Linked DNA regions of Oryctolagus cuniculus. The protein of the gene in region 1 purifies or fractionates together with the protein of each later gene. This does not show direct contact. Links are inferred from orthologs where the notes say so. Each region holds a gene or a part of one and is shown on either strand. Other genes may lie near its edges.

The links.
Region 2: the proteins of CCT8 (region 1) and TLE2 purify together in Homo sapiens (affinity purification with mass spectrometry; 3 studies listed by BioGRID and IntAct, with this or other methods). This does not show direct contact. The link is inferred for Oryctolagus cuniculus from reciprocal best matches to the Homo sapiens genes CCT8 and TLE2.
Region 3: the proteins of CCT8 (region 1) and PDCL3 purify together in Homo sapiens (affinity purification with mass spectrometry; 3 studies listed by BioGRID and IntAct, with this or other methods). This does not show direct contact. The link is inferred for Oryctolagus cuniculus from reciprocal best matches to the Homo sapiens genes CCT8 and PDCL3.

The regions. Positions count from the first base shown.
Region 1 is NC_091435.1:16,585,208-16,588,854, reverse strand, and holds part of CCT8 (T-complex protein 1 subunit theta), read right to left. Parts: intron 1,533-3,647; coding exon 1,461-1,532; intron 1,385-1,460; coding exon 1,220-1,384; intron 556-1,219; coding exon 436-555; intron 1-435. UniProt on the Homo sapiens protein: Component of the chaperonin-containing T-complex (TRiC), a molecular chaperone complex that assists the folding of actin, tubulin and other proteins upon ATP hydrolysis.
Region 2 is NC_091447.1:59,642,930-59,646,676, reverse strand, and holds the start of TLE2 (transducin-like enhancer protein 2), read right to left. Parts: upstream 2,335-3,747; 5' UTR 2,076-2,334; coding exon 2,052-2,075; intron 1,968-2,051; coding exon 1,870-1,967; intron 1,673-1,869; coding exon 1,609-1,672; intron 352-1,608; coding exon 307-351; intron 1-306.
Region 3 is NC_091433.1:108,022,816-108,026,396, reverse strand, and holds part of PDCL3 (phosducin-like protein 3), read left to right. Parts: intron 1-1,241; coding exon 1,242-1,332; intron 1,333-1,639; coding exon 1,640-1,783; intron 1,784-2,781; coding exon 2,782-2,990; intron 2,991-3,581. UniProt on the Homo sapiens protein: Acts as a chaperone for the angiogenic VEGF receptor KDR/VEGFR2, increasing its abundance by inhibiting its ubiquitination and degradation.

The DNA.
Region 1 (3,647 bases):
TACAAACAGATGATCAGAAAATACCTTTGTGAAAAATAATTATGAACTACAAACAGGTGGTCTGCAATACCTGCATCCATATTCCACTTTAATATTATATAATTAAACTCTCTAGATAACTTGTACAAAGGGGTTCTAAGGCCAAACTTGAAAGCTGAATCTAAATTCGGTTTATTCCACAGATTCCTTACCAATTTAAAAAGGTTTATATTGCAGACAGCTTCATTTTTAATTAGCTGTAATATATTCATACATTCTAAAGCTAATAGGAAAAAAAAGACATTTTTCAAGGATACTTTAACATCTCTAACATATGATGGTAAACAAGTACTCCTTTGAATACAATTGGAACTGTGCTATATTCAAGTTCTGTGAAAATTTCCTCTTGAACCATAAAAAACTAGCTTAAAGATCTAAATTTCACTTTTTGCTCACCTGATCCACTCTAAGTACAGTGACTGCAGCATTCGTAGCCAGTTTGATAGCCCAGTATTTTCCTAGATAAGTATCTAAAATACCGGCTTCCAACATGTCTTTTACAGCAGGAACTTCAGCCTGTTAACACAAAACAATTTTCATCCTTCATTATAAATTAAGTGAAACTGCTTACACTCAATAACAAAACCTCATGGCTCTTTAAACTGTACTAAAAAATAACTAAGGGTGGGCATTTGGCCTACTGGTTAATACTCTTGCCTCCCTTACTGGTGTGCCCTGGTTTGCATTTCCAGCTAAGGAAGACCTTGAGAAGCAGGGATGGATCAAGTGATTGGCTGTTGAAGGCAACTGGGGGAATGAACTGGCAGATGGGAGCTAGCTATCTCTCAAATAATTCAACATTAAGATGGAAAACATTAATAAATAAATGTGCATAAAATAGAAATATACGATAAATATACATAATATGTAACTACATATTGGAGTGCCTGGTTCAAGTCCCAGTTACCACATTTCTAATACAGCTCCCAGCTAATGCTCACCCTAGGAGGCAGTAATTACTACTTCAAATACTTGGGGCCCTGACACTCATGTGAATTATATTCTGGGCTCCTGGCTTCTGCCTGGCCTATCCCTGACTATTGTGGGCTTGTGGGGAGTGAACCACTGAAAACAGTCTCTGCCTTTCAAAAAAACTGAAATTTCTATTACTGCTTCCATTTTTAGTTTAAGCATTCACAAAATAAAACAATAATATATAGTTTTTTTTTCCCTTAAATACCTCAATGTCTAATCCAACATTTTTATTTCCTTCTTGATGGACTGCATAGAGTTTAGAGATTACTTCATTGGCCTTAACTCCTGAGTTTTCTGCCAGAGCTCGGGGAATAGCTTCAAACGCCTCAGCAAACTTCTTTATAGCATATTGTTCAAGTCCAGGACATGTCTAAAACAAAACAATTATAATTGCCATTTTATTCAGGTAATGTAAAGTCAGTCAAGATATACAGAAAAAGCTATACCTCTCCATATGATGTGATCTGTTTGGCCAATTCGATCTCTGTTGCTCCACCTCCAGGGACAAGACGTTTATCCTATAAGTAGCCCAAACAAATTAATCAATCAAAAATGTCACTACATAAGAAACAACGAAATCCAGTCATTTGCAACAAAATGGAGGAATCTGGAACACATCATGCTGAGTGAAATAAGCCAGTCCCAAAGGGACAAATACCATATGTTCTCCCTGATCGGTGACAACTGACTGAACACCAAAAAGGAAACTTGTTGAAGTGAAAGGGACACTATGGGAAACGGTGACTTGATCAGCATAGCCCTGACTGTTAATGAACAACTTAATACATTATCCCTCTTAGTAGTTTTTTTGTCTGTTCTACTTAATATGACTGATTTAATTCTGTAATTAATACACAGTTATTCTTAAGTGTTGAAATTTAACTGAAATGTGATCCCTGTTAAACATAAGAGTAGGAATAAGAGAGGGAAGAGATATATAATTTGGGACATGCTCAAGCTGACTTGCCCCAAATGGTAGAGTTAGAAACATACCAGGGGACTCCAATTTAATCCCATCAAGGTGGCATGTACCAATGCCATCTCACTAGTCCAAGTGATCAATTTCAGTTCGCAATTGATCATAATGAAAGGACTAAGAGTCAAAGGGAGCACATAAGCAAGTCTAGTACCTGCTAACACTAACCGATAGAATAAATAAAGGGGAGAGTGATACAACATGGGAAGTGAGATACTCAGCAGACTCATAGAATGGCAGATGCCCTAAATAGCACTCTGGCCTCAGAATCAGCCCTAAAGGCACTCGGATCTGGCTGAAAAGCCCATGAGAGTATTTCAGGCATGGAAAGCCAAGACACTCTGGCAAAAGATCTCTGTGAGTGAGATCTCAGTGGAAAGAACAGGTCTTCAAAGAAGGAGGTACCTTTCTCTGAAGGGAGGAGAGAACCTCCACTTTGACTATGACCTTGTCTAAACAAGATAAGAGTCGGAGAACTCAAGGGGCTTCCATAGTCTTGGAAACTCATGACTGGAGCATAGGGAGATTACTGATGCCATAGACAGGAGTGTCAATTGGTAAAGTCAACAACAGGAGTCACTGTGCACTTACTCCTCATGTAGGATCTCTGTCCTTAATGTGCTGTGCATTGAGATTTAATGCTATAACGAGTACTCAAATAATATATTGCACTTTGTGTTTCTATGGGGGTGCAAACTGTTGAAATCTTTACTTAATGCATACTAAACTGATCCTCTGTAAAAAAAAAAAAAAAAAAAAAAAAGAAAAGAAAAGAAAAGAAAAGAAACTATCAACTCCCACCTTGACTCTCACTGGGATTAAACATGACAATAGGTCTGATCTGATTTCATCATCATTAAAAAAAATCATCAATTATTTTTCACTTTATGTTTCTGTGTGGGAGCAAACTGTTGAAATCCTTACTTAATGTATACTAAGCTGATCTTCTGTATATTAAGATAATCGAAAATGAATCTTGATGTGAATGGAAGGGGAGAGGGAGTGGGAAAGGGGAGGGTTGTGGGTGGGAGGGACGGTATGGGGGGGAAGCCATAGTAATCCATTATTCGTACTTTGGAAACGTATATTCATTAAATAAAAGTTAAAAAAAAAAAAAAAAAAAGAATTTGAGGACTCATGGGAAATTTCTCAATAATTATTTCTCCAATTCTTATAAAGTACTATGTATTTGGTCCTTAGTATTTATTCTTTTCCATTTTTATTCTATTTCTGTTTACCCTCTTCTTTATACCCTGGATTTCATTCACTCCGGCAATAATAGTAACCAGGGACCATGACTCAAGAGCCCTTCAATAAATTATAAGTTTCCTCAAAAAAAAAAAAAAAAAAAAAAAAAAAAAAAAAGTCACTACAAAAAGAAAAGTCTGTTATTTGATTTTTTAAATTCCTGAACTCTAACCAGATTTGAGTTTCTAATCAGGAGCCATCACTCAAAATCTAATCACAAACTTGGCAAAATAAATAATAATAATAATAAAAAAAATCAGTGATCAGAGCAAATTTTCTTATTGTACAGTGTTTGATATATGGAAAAGGGGACCAAAGTAAAGAATGAGAAAAGCACTAAAACAAATGCTTAAGCGACTGAAGGTAAATCATAATTAGAAACAACTATCGATAGCCCTTTAAAATCATT
Region 2 (3,747 bases), on another chromosome or scaffold:
GCTATCTCAGAACCCTGAGGTCTACCGTGGCAATACCTGGTCAGCCTGAACCACGACACGGAGCGCACGGCCCGCAGAGCCACCTCGCAGCCCCGGCCCGCGCCTCCCGGCTCGACCTCAGAACCTCGGAAGTGCACCAGCGTCTCGGGGGCCATCTCAGACCCAGCAGGCCCGAGACTGTGCACGCGGCCCCCGGCCCGGCCGTCCTCAACCACGGGGACGCCGGGACCCTGCCCTCCGCCCGCCCGGCTCAGAAGCCGAGAGAGGCTGGCACGGCCCCCAGCCCCGCTCCCAGCCCCCCCTCACCTGTTTGTGCATCTCGATGTTGAGGCCGTAGGACATCTCATAGTACTGCGGGGAGAGGGCAGCTCAGGGACCCGGGTCTACAGGAGCCCCCGGCCGGGGAGAGAGCAGCTCAGGGACCCGGGTCTACAGGAGCCCCCGGCCGGGGAGAGGGCAGCTCACGGACCCGGGTCTACAGGAGCCCCCGGCCGGGGAGAGGGCAGCTCAGGGACCCGGGTCTACAGGGGCCCCCGGCCGGGGAGAGAGCAGCTCAGGGACCCCGGGTCTACAGGAGCCCCCGGCCGGGGAGACGGCAGCTCAGGGACCCCGGGTCTACAGGAGCCCCCGGCCGGGGAGAGAGCAGCTCAGGGACCCGGGTCTACAGGAGCCCCCCGGCCGGGGAGAGAGCAGCTCACAGACCCGGGTCTACAGGAGCCCCCGGCCGGGGAGAGGGCAGCTCAGGGACCCGGGTCTACAGGGGCCCCCGGCCGGGGAGAGGGCAGCTCAGGGACCCCGGGTCTACAGGAGCCCCGGCCGGGGAGAGGGCAGCTCAGGGACCCCGGGTCTACAGGAGCCCCCGGCCGGGGAGAGAGCAGCTCAGGGACCCGGGTCTACAGGAGCCCCGGCCGGGGAGAGGGCAGCTCAGGGACCCCGGGTCTACAGGAGCCCCCGGCCGGGGAGAGAGCAGCTCAGGGACCCGGGTCTACAGGAGCCCGAGGCTGGGGGAGGGGCACAGCAGGACAGGGCCCCCAGCAGAGACCCCCCTGAGTGGGGGAGGGGGCAGCCTGGGGTCAGTGCCCCCTGGTCTCCCTGGAGTGACCCTGAGAGACAGCCCAGGGCACAGGTGGGGGCGAGAGGAGGCCGAGAGCCGGGGGGGCCCTCACCATGACGAGGAGCTGGGGGGGGACCCTCACCATGATGAGGAGTGGGGGGGACCCTCACCATGACGAGGAGCGGGGGGGACCCTCACCATGACGAGGAGGGGGGGGACCCTCACCATGATGAGGAGCTGGGAGGGCCCTCACCATGATGAGGAGCTGGGGGGTCCATCACCATGACGAGGAGCTGGGGGGACCCTCACCATGACGAGGAGCTGGGGGGGCCTCACCATGACGAGGAGGGGGGGGACCCTCACCATGATGAGGAGCTGGGAGGGCCCTCACCATGACGAGGAGCAGGGGGAGACCCTCACCATGACGAGGAGGGGGGGCCCTCACCATGACGAGGAGGGGGGGCCCTCACCATGACGAGGAGCGGGGGGGGGCCTCACCATGATGAGGAGCGGGGGGGGGCCCTCACCATGACGAGGAGCGGGGGGGGGCTCACCATGACATAATGCCGCTGCATCTCCGTCTTCTCGCTGGCCAGCTTCTCGCACTCCAGCTTGAGACTGCGAGGACACGGGGTGCGGGGTCCCCCAGCACCCCGCGGGGGGGCCAGTTTCCAAAGTGCGGCCTGGGTCTCCCCTCCTCCTCGCCACCCCTCCCTGACCTCAGAGCCCCCCCACACCGCACCTCACCTGCCTCCCCAGCCCGGCCCCGCCCCTCCAGGTGCACCCCGCGCCCCCTGCCCGCCCCTCCCCCGCACCTGTGGTACTGTGCCTGCAGGAACTGGAATTCCTCTTTGATGCGGTCACAGATCTCCAGGATGGAGAACTTGAAGGGCTGGCCCGACTGGAGCGGGGTCTGGGGGAGGGGTTAGGGCAGGGGGGACGTCAGGGTCCCGGGCGCCGGGGACTCCCCCGCCGCCGCCCGAGGCCCCCCACTCACCGGGTGCCTGCCCTGGGGGTACATCCTGCAGCGCTGAGACGCACCCCCCGCGCCGGACAATATGGGGAGGGGGCGCGGGGCGACCGCGGCGGGTTGGGGGGGGGGGTCCGGGGAAAAAGCGGGAGGGCGACAGAGCGCGCGGGGCAGCGCCCGGGAGTCCCTGGCGGGCGCCCCCGCGAGCGGCCCGGGTGGCGGGGACGAGCGGCGGCGCGGGGCGCGGAAGGTCGGGGCGCGGGCGCAGCCGGGTTTCGGCGGCGGTGGCGGCGCGGGCGGCGCGGGCCCCGCGCGGAGCCGCCTCCCTCCGGCGGGGCTCGGCCGGGAGCCGCGGGCAGAGCCGCTTAAGGTGGCGCCGCCGCCCCCGCCCCGCCCGCGCGGCGCGGCGCCCCCGCCCCCGCCAGCCCCGCAACAACTTTGCCCTCCCACCCGCAACCCCGGGACCCCTCTCTGCTCCCTGCCCGGTGGGGACGCTGGCGCCCCGCACCCACCCACCTACCCGCCCGCCCACCCGCCGCCAAGGCCGGGAGCGGAAGAGCCGAGAAAACAGACGCCCAGGCCCGGAGCGGGAGCAGCCGCGAGGGCAGGGGGCGTCCGGGGTGGGCGGCCCTGGCCTCAGGTGTCAGGGCCTTGGTGGGGGGAGGGGGACACCTGCCAGGCCAGGGGCGCTCACGCGGGGCTGGGCTGGGACCAGAGCCAGTTGCTGGCCCCCCACGGCCTCACTGTTCCCCCCTCCTCACCCGCTGTCTTTAAGTCAATCCTTAAGTCAATCAACAAACACGCAGGGAGCCCACCTGCAGCTCCAGGAACTGGGGCACAGCCCACAAGGCTGCCCTGGGCCGTGTACTGGGCCGGTGAGGGCGCCGGGGCCCAGGCCCTCACCTGCAGGCGGCCTCTTTCTCTGGGGCCGGCCGTGCTCAGCCCTCAGCCGCTGCCTGCTCCCCCCACCCCGCCTGCTGGGGCCCCTGCACCAGCGAGGGCCACCTCGGGGAGTCCCAGGCTCCTGCCCAGGCCACTGTGGCCATCTGGGGAGTGACCCGGCACAGGGAAGGTCTGGGGCTCCGTAGGTCTCCTTTCACAGAACTTTTTTTTTTTTTAAGATTTAATTTATTTGAGAGGTAGAGTTACAGACAGAGAGAGGCAGAGTTGGAGAGAGGAGAGGTCTTCCATCCGCTGGGTCACTCCCCACTTGGCCGCAACGGCCGGAGCTGAGCTGATCCAGAGCCAGGAGCCAGGAGCTCCATCCGGGTCTCCCACGCGGGTGCAGGGGCCCAAGCACTGGGGCCATCTTCTACTGCTTTCCCGGGCCACAGCAGGGAGCTGGATGGGAAGTGGAGCAGCCGGGACTCGAACCCGCTCCCACATGGCACTGCAGGCCGGGGCTTTACCCGCTGGACCACAGCGCCGGCCCCTAAGGCATCTTTCTTAAGCCATGGCCAGATATCCTCTCGTAGCTGTCCCAGGTCCCGTCCAGGCGCCAGGGAGACCGGACGGACGAGGGACAGGACTCCTGGCCGCCCCGCTCTGGGGCAGTCCTGGGACAGAGCAGGCGGGAGTGCCCGTGGCCGCGTGGCTGCGTGGCCGCTACACAATCGTGTGGGCAAAGGGAGAGCTCGGGGAGGCGGGGTTGGCTGGGAGGGGGCTGACACGGGCAGGGAGAGGTGGGGAGGCCGCGGGAGTGCGGGGCAGAGGCTCCCTGCCC
Region 3 (3,581 bases), on another chromosome or scaffold:
GAGCATGGAGAGCTGCTGTGGAAAAGGGTCCCATGGCCAGCCAGGAAGAGGCGTGGCTGGGCCCGACTCGACTTTTATAACCAGTCCTCTTGGAAAAACGACCTTCCAGGGGCCTACGGACTTCCCACTCACTGGACCTACCTTCTATACACCATAAGTGGTTTAAGTTTCCACCCTCCTAGTGCTATTATGAGTTTGGGATTTCAACAGCTGCATGAATTAGGAAGCCAGATCTTGTTCAGACCACTGCAGTTAGAGTGACTGCACGCCTTAGTGCCTGAGCAACCTGAAGGGTGGAGTTGCCACCAACTGAGATGAAGGCTTGGAGAGGAGCAGGTTTGCAGGAAGATGGAGACTCTGTTTGGGACATGTTAACTTTGAGAGTCTCACGGAACAAGTAGAGGGGCTAAGCAGGTGGTTGGGTGTGTTTTCAGAGAAGTGTGAGCTGGGGATGTGACTTTAGGAGTTGTGAGTGTACCGAAAACACACAAAGCCCCTAGGAGTAGTCACTGAGGGTGCAGGCATAGAAGCTGAGTCAAAGAATTGAACCCTGAGCACTTGTCATCAGCAGAAGGTTCACAGTGGGCACAGCTGTAGGGGCAGGAGGAGAACGGGGCCTCCTGGAAGCCAGGGGAGGCCGGGACGGCTTGGATCAGGTGCCGCTCGTCATCAGGGAATGAGGTTGTTGACCTGGATGAGAGTTTTGTTGGAGGCACAGCGAAAGCCAGGTTTGCTGTCAAGCAGGAGTGACAGTAAAAATGAGATGCTGATTTTATACCAGTTCATTACAAGAAAGGATAGAGTTGCCTGCCACACAGAAGACATGGCCAAGAAATACATGACGGTCACCTTTAACTCCAGGAAAGTGTGTGTGGGAAGGTCCCCTGCTGCCATCACCCCGACTCCTTGGGTAGTAGAATTGTTGATACACCTGCCGCTAGTGGATATGCCCGACCAGGGGACTTCGGGCTTTGTAAACCTGGGAGATTTCTCACCCATCCACTCACTGTGTGGGGGTGAGATGCTCCCGTCTGTAGGTGTCCGCACAGGTTTTTCTTTTTAAAACACCCCCCACGTCTTATTCACTAGTGAGATGTAAGTAATCTTTATGTTGGTGAGCTGGGGCCTGCTGGTATTGTGTGCTTACCTTTAGGAGAAAAGCGAAGGGGAATACCCAAAATGCATGTTTGTTCATCTTGAATTTTTGTTTTTTTTGCTTTGGCTGTTGTAACTAAATTCAGTGAAGACGTATGAAGATATGACATTGGAAGAACTGGAAGATAATGAAGACGAATTCAATGAAGAGGATGAACGTGCTATTGAAATGTACAGGTTAGTGCCACTCAGAGGGACCGTTTAGGTTTTTTGCGTGGTAATTTTTACCATACCGTAAAATGTGCATCCATTGTAAATTTACTTTTCTGGGGGCTGGTGTTGTGGCACAGTGGATGGAGCCACACTGCCTGTATTGCCAGCATCCCATATGAGTGGTAGTTAGAGTCCTGGCTGTTCCACTTCTGACTCAACTCCCCTGCTAATGCGCCTGGGAAGGCAGTGGAAGATGGCTATTTGTGTGTGTATTTGTGCATGCGTACATATGTGCATGTGTTAGAAGATATTTTCTCTGTCTGTTGTCCAGGCAGCAAAGACTGGCCGAGTGGAGAGCAACTCAAGAAAAGAATAAATTTGGAGAAGTTTTGGAGATTTCAGGAAAAGATTATGTCCAAGAAGTTACCAAAGCTGGTGAGGGCTTGTGGGTAATCTTGCACCTTTACAAACAAGGGTGAGCTGATCATCTTTTGTGTTCTAGAACATGTGAATTTTAATTTATATGTTGAATCCATATCAAGCTTATTCCATATTCTGGTATTTGTCGTTGTTTATTAGTGTTATGTGTTTTTGTTGCTCATTTACTAAAGCTTTAATGCCTAATTTTTATCTTGACTACCAAATTAATATCTGTGACTCAATGCAATTGTCTCTGTAAAAATATAGCAAAGAAGGGGCTGGCGTTGTGACATAGTGGGTTAAGCCTCCGCCTGCAACACCAGCATCCCAAATGGGTGCCAGTTTGAGACCCGGCTGCTCTGCTTCTGATTCAGCTCCCTGCCAATGCGCCTGGGAGAGCAGCAGAGGATGGCCTGGACGCTTGGACCCCTGCACGCATGTGGGAGACCCAGAAGCAGCACTGGGCCCCTTGCTTCAGCCTGGCCTAGCCCTGGCCGTTGTGACCATTTGGGGAGTGAACCAGAGATGGAAAACCTCTCTCTCTCCATCTTTCCTCCTCTATCCATAACTCTGCCTTTCAAATTAAAAAAAAAAAAAGTATAGTTGAAGAGTCAGTTTGCTTTCACTGAAAAGGAATTCCTGGGACTCCGGCAATTCCAAATTCTATAGTTCATGGTTCCTGCAGACAGAGAAGGTGACCTCCCAGCCATTGTCTGCCGTGTGGTGCTGAGGGCCTCCAGCCTCCCTCCACGCTCAGTCCTGCTCCTAACCTGTAGAGCCCAGTGCTTTTTGTGGCATTTCCTTAAAGCAGGAAATATGTTCTGGCCTGTTTCACACATTCTGCATCTTTGGTGTTCTCTCATTCGACCTTATGGAAGGCCATAGCAGTTGTCTTTTATGCTGACACTGTTTTCCTGAGCTGTTGTTGTATCAAATGAAATTGGACTTTGGGTTTCAAGTTCTTCACTTCACATGGACATATTAGGAAGTGCTGATTGGTCTTGGCCGGTAGTGGAATCACCAGTGCCTCTGCATTCTGTTTGTGTGTTCCAGGATTCCCCTCTGTGCCTTGATAAATCAGCACTTCAGCGCACTTGCCAGGAAGTTTCCTGATGTGAAGTTCATCAAAGCCATTTCAACAACCTGCATACCCAATTATCCAGATAGGAATCTGCCCACGGTATTCGTGTACCTGGAAGGCGAGATCAAGGCTCAGTTTGTTGGCCCACTGGTGTTCGGCGGCATGAACTTGACTCGAGATGGTAAGGGGCGTATGAGGGCCGGGGAGGGGGTTTTTCTGTTACTGAGAGTGCTTGTTTGCTGGCCGGGTGTTGCCATGTGGGCAGCTGTGCATTTGGTCTCCTGTCTTAGCAACTAGTTAGGAGCAGTCACAGCGGGGCTGCAGCAGTTCTCAAAGGAAGACACAGAGAACCTAGCTACATGTTTAACGTTAATGTCAAATATACTTTATTTGGCCCTGCAGCTAAATATTTTTTAAGTGTAGCCCAATATAACATTCATTTTTTGCTCACATCAACGTATTGTTGAAGACACATAGGAGTTCAGTCTAAAAAGTTTGTGGTATGATAAAATTAGAAGATAAATCTATTTTGGTGCAAAAAGATTTTTTGAGACCCTTGTATAGTTTTTCATAATACACATTTTTCATGAATTTTTTGAAGCCCTCATATGTATGTATATTTCTCTGTTGAAATATTTTCTCAGTTGAGTACCTTAGTAGCTTTTCAATTTAAACTTTATTTATTTTTGCCTGTAACTCTGGAAGGATTAAAAAAAATTCCTTCCCATGTGTTACACATGGAGATGGCAAAGTGTTTATCCATGCTTAATGA